2 linked regions of the Cricetulus griseus genome follow. The protein of the gene in region 2 interacts with the protein of the main gene of each other region in a pairwise test. Links are inferred from orthologs where the notes say so. Each region holds a gene or a part of one and is shown on either strand. Other genes may lie near its edges.

Region 1 (3,875 bases), about 100 Mb from region 2:
AAAAGTCAGCTTTCCATTTTCACAAGCCACAGCATGTATCATCTTACTAAATACCTTCAGTATCTATCACTTAGCCCTTTAATACCTGAAATGCATCTTCTATAAAACAAACAAAATTACTTTCCAGGATAATGAAAATGAGTCTGGCACACCTAAAACAAGACAAATGTTAGGCCTATCAAACTCACTCCAAAGGTAGTAATGCAGAAAGCAGAGAGCTGAACCCAGATGTGCTCAAAACTCATCCCTTTTCCATTACAACATCCTTTATAGGCACTAGTCTCAGCTGTCATCCAGGATTTAAGCCAATTTACTAAAAACTTCTGGGCTCCATCTTTAAAAATAAGTGACCTGTTTCACAAGTGGCGGCACAAACCTTTAATCCCAGTGGGAGGATCTGAGTTTTCAGCCAACCTGGTCTACAGAGTTCCAAGACAGCCAAGCCAGAGCTACATAGCAGACCCTGTCTGAAAACACAGCAACCTTCTTGTAAGATTTAGGAAAAGTATGCCCGGGGGAGGGGGGGGGCTTGCCTTTAATCCCAGCACTCGGGAGGCAGAGGCAGGCGGATCTCTGTGAGTTCAAGGCCAGCCTGGTCCCCAGAGCAAGTGCCAGGATAGGCTCCAAAGCTACACAGAGAAACCCTGTCTCGAAAAAACAACAACAAAAGATTTGGGAAAAGTAATTTGCGCAAATAACAAAATCAATCCAAACAAACACGGTTTCCCTGCTTTCTGGGGGTGGGGGGGACCTTGCTTTTAAAACTAAAGCCTCTGATATCTGGTAGATAAGCTGGGTTACTTGTGTGCCTAATAAACTACAGTGTACGTGTGCTGAGCAGCAGGCTCCTCCATAAACACCCCAGTGAGGTACCTGAATGTTGACTTTCTAAAATCAATGACTGGCTAGAAATACAAAAGAATGAATTCCACCCACCACCACAGGTTGTCTTAGTCATAAAAAGGAGGACTGACCAACATCTGTTTGACTTGAAAAGAGCTATCAAAATGGTTAGGTTATTTACTATCTTTAAAGTAAGACTGTTTTAGGAAAGTGAATTAAAACTCCTAGATTGTTTTGTAACTACGGACTGATGGTTTTCCAGTGAGTAAATGAAGTCCAAACCACTTCACATTAAACATTTCCAAAGCTAAGTTTAACACCCTTCATATAAGCTATTCACAACAAAGTTTTTCAAAGGATAATAGAGATTCTCAGAAGAGAAATACGTACAAAAATAACTAAAATGTACAATAATTTTACCAAAAGTGAGCCTTGGTAAGAAGGTTCAAGTTTAACGGAGTTAGACATCGTAAAATTATTCTCGTTATTCAACTAACTTCCTCCATATTTACATATGCCTCTCATATTTCACACTATCCCGACCTGACATGAGCATTTAAGAGTGGACTGCCAGTAGCACCAAAGCTTAAGGAAACTGTTTAACCATTCTTCAGTCTACTTCTAGCACTTCAGTGTGTATTAACACAAGGCAGTAGACTTCTAAAAATCTCCGCTGATAAAAATGTTTTGGATCGAAAGTCAATCCTAAGTCTAAAATCTCTAACCTCTCTTTCGGATTCAATCTCTTAGACAAACCCTTAGTCATAAAAGAGAGAGAGACAGAGACAGAGAGAGACAGAGAGAGACAGACGGACACACACACACACAGAGAGAGAGAGAGAGAGAGAGAGAGAGAGAGAGAGAGAGGGAGGGAAGGAGGGAGGGAGGGAGAGATCCAGCGCTATCATTAGGAAACTGTCGTTCCACCCCTCCCCCAATACATCCACAACTTTGGAAAACTTTGTTCCCAGGCTTTCTAAACCCCTACGCATAAGCTCCCCCGAATCTCTCTGGATGGGAAGGACGCCTTCACCCGGGGAGGTCTTTTTCTTTCTTTCTTTGCTTTAGTTTTAGTCTTTTTCACTGATAAACCTTTCCCAAAAGGTCTCAAAAAAAAAAAAAAAAGAAAAAAAAAAAAAAAAGCAAGAGCAGATCTACAGTACCTGGGCGTTGGCTTCGTGGAGTTTGTGCTCGGTGGAGACGTGGTGCCTCAGGAGCAGGGTTTTCTTATAGTTGCGGGTCCCTCGCGAAAGCTCATCACGCCCCAGCTGGGGAAGGTCCACGCTGCCCCCATCCTCGGGGGTCTTTTGGCACCAGCCGCAAAACATAAGGCCAGTATCCTTGGAGTACCGCAGCCAAGGGAAGTCCTTGAGCCAAGAGGTCTGGAAGGAGCTCTGGAGCTTCTGCATGAGGGACTTGGGCCTCGCAAGCGGGAAGTGCTGGACAGTCTCTCCGTCGCCAGCTCCCACACCGCTGCCCTCCGCTTCGTCCCCGCCATCGCCTCCCGACCGCCTGCTGCTGCTGCAGCTGCCGCCTTCCGCCCCACTGCCGTCGCCGGGGCTCGCCCCCTCCTCCTCTTCCTCGGTGCTGTCGCTCAGGGACGCGCCGTCCTGCATCAACTCCTTCCCCTCCAGCGCGTCCAGCTCCAGATCCACGGCCGCCGGCCCTCGCCCATTGAAATGCCTGAGGGGCCACGCCGAGGTCCCCCGGCGGCCGCGGCTGCTGCCATTGTTGCCGAGACCCCCGGCGCCTCCCCCGCGGAAGGCCAGAGTCCGACGGTTCCTTTCCGCTAGCAGGGGGCCCCCCGCGCCGCCGCCCAGCGAGGCGGGGCCGCCCGCGTCCTGAGGGAGCAGCAACTCCTTGGCGTCCTCGGCGGCGGCGGCCGGCAGCGGGGCGGCGGCGGCGGCGGCGGCCGCCCGGCGGAGGCCTCCGAGTCTTGGGGCTCCAGGCCCTCCGATTGCCATTTCCTCGTCGGCCCCGCGCCCATTGGCTGCAGCGGCGCGCGCGGCGCGCGGGCTGTCGCGGATGCGGCCGCGGAGGCCAAGCAGAGGCCTCCCGCCAGCGTTATTGTTCGTGGGGCGCCGGCCGCCGCCGCCGCCACCACCGCCGGTGACCAACCCGCCTCCTCGGAACGCCAGCGTCCTGCGGTTCATTTCACTGAACATGGCGCGCGCCGCCGCCGCCGCCCGCCCGGTGCCTCGGCTCGCACACCGCCTCGGGCCCCGTCCCGCTCGCTCGCCGCGGCTCCCCAACGTCTCACCCCCCCCCCGCCCCCGGGCGCGCTTGCGCTGAGCTGCGCTCCCGCCGGCCCGCCTCACCCTCCCGCCGGCTCGCCTCGCTCCCGGGGCCGCCGCACGCGTCGCCGCCGCCGCCGCCGCCGCTGTCCGGCCGCGTCCTCTCCACCCCCGCCCCGCCGTGCTCCGGGCAGCGTCCGCGCGGAGAGGTGGGCGGGCGGCGGAGCGGCGAGCCGGGGCGCGTGCGGCCTTCGAAGTTGAGGAGGAGTGCGGACGCCCCTCCGCTGCCCCGCTTCAGCGCCGCGCGCACACACCGGCCCGCCAACAGCTCTCAGTCCTCGGGGGAGCCGCGCCGCCGCCGCCGGCTGCCGAGGCGCAGACGCGAGAGGCGCGCTAAGCCTCTGGGCTCCGCCACATAGCGAGCCGACAATAAAGCCGGCGGAGCGTTTCCGTCCGACCAGGCCCTGGCGGAGGTCGAATGGCAAATGAACAACGGACCGTGCGCCCACAATGCACCGGGGTAGCAGTAACCGCTGGAGGGGGAGAGGGTGGGGGCCGGCCGGGGAGGGGGGGGCTGGGCCGGGCTGGGCTGGGCCGGGGGCGCCGGGGGACCGGGAAAGGGGCCCGGCCGCTCAGGCCCGCGGGCGGGGGTGCGGCCGCGGGAAGGAAGCGAGCGGCGAGCGGCCGCGGGCGGGGCGCGGGGCCGGGGTCTCGGGGCGGGGCCGGCTCGGCTAGGACAAACAGCTGGCGGGTGTCAGGGACCGCCTCGCCGCCGCGCGCCCCGGCGCACCGTGCCCT
Region 2 (3,905 bases):
ATATCGGCTTGTTTTCAAGGGAGAAATCTAGGTAGAAAAGTGGGCAATGAACATCAAGTATGGAAAGGTTTGAACCCGTTTGGAAAGGGTTGGGGGAGAAGCCATTCTGTAGAACAACAACGGAGACAATGGCTTGGAGATAGGATATAGGATATAGGTGACTTTGGTTGGTGTGAGAATCTACCCAGCCAGAACAAGGTCTCCAGCTGGTGTGGGGAAGGTGACATCTTCTTTGAACGTTCTCTGGGAAGGAGGGTGGAGGAATCAGTCCTTCCTCTCAGGAGTAACCCTGTCCACGACTCCCTATAGCTATTCACTCAATGGCTGGCTGGCTGGCTGGCTGGCTGGCTGGCTGGCTGGCTGGCTGGCTGGGAGAGGGTGTCGCTACACAGCCCTGGACTAGCCTGGAGTTCACAGAGATCTGCCTGCCTCTGCCTCCCTAGTGCTGGAATTAAGACATGCTCCCTCCCTCCCTCCACCACCAGCAGCATCTAGCCTTGAGTGCTGTTTGTGATAGTGGGCTGAAGCTGAATATAGGCTGTTAGGAACCCTATAGAGTTCAGAGACAAGTGAAGCTCAGATGACTGCGGGAGGACTAGGAAACCATTCAAACCACAAGGGTTTTGTTTTTTTCTTTCTGCTTCAGGGAGAAGCTGGAGTTACTCCCATTCTACAGCCTAGGAATCTGAGGCCGCCTTCTTAAGAAAGATCCAGACGGTCCCCTGGGGCGGCTGCTCAGTAAGTCCTCGGCCCTAGGGGAGGCTGCGAGCTCCACCGGACTTCCCACTTCCCGGAAAGGCTGGAGAGAAGAGTGTGTGTCCTGGGACGGGGGAGTCCCTTTCCCCGCCCCTCCCCGCCCCGTGGCCACGGCGTGGCTGAGCCCGGGGCGGAGCTGGCGTCTGCTCGCGGACGAGCGGCGGGACGGCGGCCGCAGCCCGGGGCAGGCAGGCGGACAGGCGCGGAGACCGGCCCGGCGGGATCACCCGCAGGAGGACGAGCCAGCCCGCTGCGGTGTGGCCGCACCGACAGAGACCCGGAGCTGTCCACCTAGGCGGAGCGCGTGAGTGAGAGCCGCGTCTCCGCGCCCCTCGCGGCCCGGTCTTGCTTCCACTTTCAGTTCTTCTTGGTCCTCGCTTGCCAACTTCTGGAAGCGACCCGAGCCCGAAAGCAGGCTGGCCACAGTCCTCAGCCCCGGGTCCAAGGCTCAGCGCCCGAACGCCGGGGTGGGGGGTGGCGGTGGCGGTGGCTGGTGAGGGGGCGTGTCTTCAGGAGCGGAAACGTCAGGCGGGCTCCTCTGGGTCCTAGGACCTGTTTGGCCCTAACTGCTGGAGATAAAGGGAGGTTCTTAGGAGCTCAAAGGAGGGGAGGGGGCGGGTCTGGCTGGACAGTAGCTGTGTCTTACACTCCTACTTTTATATTAGATCTTGTCCTGCAGGGCATACCTGGCTAGATTCTGAGTTCAGACTGGGGCGGTTTCTGAGCCAGGCCTGGGAGGGGCAGGTGTGTCCCTGGCAGGGGGCTAGATATTAGAAACAGGCTGGGTCGGTCAACCTTTGCTCTTCATCTGGGAAGATTAGATGCTCAGTCATGGAGTGAGCAAACTACTGGCCACTCACCCAGTAATTAAAGTGGAGGGTCCACTGGGAGAGAGGGCCCAGAGGCTCTGGAAGAAACAGTCTCAGTGATGGCATGAGGCTGGGGAGAGAACAGCGGTAAGAGACATAGCTAGAAGGGGACCTGCCCTCTTAGCTTACCTCCTGTACTCCAAGTTTACTCTTTCTAGGAAAAGTCCTGGGCCTTAAGTTCTACAGCAAGGAGGTGGGGCCTCTCTACTCCCTTCCTCTCCTCTTATCTACACCAGGCCAGTGGCCAGACAGCAGGAAAAGGGTCCTTTGTACCTTATTAGAGGCTAAGTCCCTCTCTATCCCAACCACCTACTTCTTATAACTTTCTATGCAAAGTTGGGCTCCTCAAATCCTGATTCTGGGCTTCAGTTTCCCCATCTGCTCATGTAGGTTAGGCCACTTGATTTTTCAGAGCTGTTTCAACTTGAAGACTTGTATTCCTATATGTCTGGTATTGTGGGTAAGTGAAGGTGGGCATGCAGGTATGGAGGCTGACATCAGTTATCTTACTCACTCTCCACTTCATTTATTGAGGCAAGGTCTATTTTTAAAAAATAATTACATTTATTTATGTGTACGCACACACACACACACACACACACACACACACGTATGTACCACAATGTACATGTTATAGTTAGAGACAGTTGGTGGGAGTTCTCTCCTTCTACCATGAGGGTCCCTCAGGCCAGTAAGTTTACCCATTGAGACATCTCACCAGCCCAAGGCAAGGTGTTTCTGAACCTGGGGCTTGCAGGGGTTCCCTGCCTCTACCTCCTAAGTTCTAGGGTTACAGAAGGCTGCCAGGTCTTGTCAGGTTTTTCATAGGTTCTGGAGATCAAAACTGGTCCTCATGCTTGCACTACAAGCTCTTTACCCACTGAACCATCTCCCCAGCCAACTCTAAGACTCTTGAGTCTAAGCTTTCCCTAAAGCCCGGCCACCAATGTTATGCCAGTCTGACTTTATCTAGAGGGCTTAGGGACAGAAATGGCAGAGTGGTCACCATACAAGGTTGAGATCTGGAGGAGGGTGCTGAAGGAGGTAGCATTCAGTAGGATGGAATGAGAAATCAGGAATCTAGCAGCAAAAGACACACATGCAGGAGAGAGTAAGGGCATGCTCAGGGATCAAGGAGAAGCCCAGGGTGGCTGCTGGTGGGAGGTGGAGTGGGGAAGTTAGGGTGTGGAGTTGAAAAGTAAGAGTCTATAACAGTCAGTAATGGTTGGCCATATCAAGGTGGAGGACCCAGAAACCCCACTGATTGCATGAGTGGTTTTGGAAATCCTGCCCCAGGCAGAGCTTACAAGGGAGACAGCAACTGAAGTATACAGAGCTCTTCATTCAGGAAGTTCAGGCCCCAGCCTGGCATTTCTTTGAGAAGAAGCTGGGGGGTGGGCAGAATAAATGAGAGAAACTTCCATACGTTCAAGCTTCTCTCAAGTGGTCAGGAACTCTCTCTGCCCTCTAAACTACTCTCCTTTTTCCTGATTGATCCATTCTGCTTGCCTGCTGTGATGAGAAGGAAAAACTGTTCCAAACATTTCTGTAAGTTTGATTTGTTGCCAGAAGTAACATCTCTCTGTACTCTATGCCTTTGGTTACCTAACCAACCTAACCCCCACCCTCTCTATCCTGGTCCTGCCACAGCAGTTAACAAAAATGTGAGAAAGGAAATTGCTTCAAAGTCAAGCCAGTCTGAGGTGAAGGATAAGCTTTGTCTGCCACTGTCTCAGGCCTCATTCAGTGTGGAGCTAGACTCGGGGTTTAGACAAACCAAGGTTGAGAACAAGTCAGAGTCAGCATGGAGCCCGAGCTCAGTGCTTAGCTTATACAGCCTAGCGGTCAGGGTCTGTGCTCCGTTTATTCCAGTCTTGGCAGTAGCCTGGATCTGTATTCCCCAGTAGTCATATACATTGGTGGGAGAGATGAAATGCCGAAGATGCTCAGAAACCTGACTAAATCAGAGTGTTCAAAGATTTACAAGGACTAAATCCGTGGTGATGTAAGCAAGCCAGTTTTGAATCAGGGGCTGGATCCCAGGACTTTGGGGGCTCTGATTGATGCCCCCTGAAGTCTGTTCTGAGTCTGGCAGCCTTCTGTTCTAAGAGGCAAAGCAAACATCCAGAAGGACCAGCAGGATGGATCTGGCTGCTCCCCCTGCCCCAGGGTAACAGGTGCATAGTAGGCATGCTGGCAATCATGTGGAGTGCCAGGTGTATTCAGTGGCTTATTCAGGTTTGGGGCTGAAGGAGGTTGGCTTAGAGGAAAGGAGCATTA

The links.
Region 1: the proteins of Mob3c (region 2) and Zbtb10 interact in binary tests that used the Homo sapiens proteins (3 or more experiments, as listed by UniProt). The link is inferred for Cricetulus griseus from reciprocal best matches to the Homo sapiens genes MOB3C and ZBTB10.

The regions. Positions count from the first base shown.
Region 1 is NC_048595.1:138,601,317-138,605,191, forward strand, and holds the start of Zbtb10 (zinc finger and BTB domain-containing protein 10), read right to left. Parts: upstream 3,099-3,875; 5' UTR 3,009-3,098; coding exon 2,007-3,008; intron 1-2,006. UniProt on the Homo sapiens protein: May be involved in transcriptional regulation.
Region 2 is NC_048595.1:36,509,878-36,513,782, reverse strand, and holds the start of Mob3c (MOB kinase activator 3C), read left to right. Parts: upstream 1-927; 5' UTR 928-1,060; intron 1,061-3,905. UniProt on the Homo sapiens protein: May regulate the activity of kinases.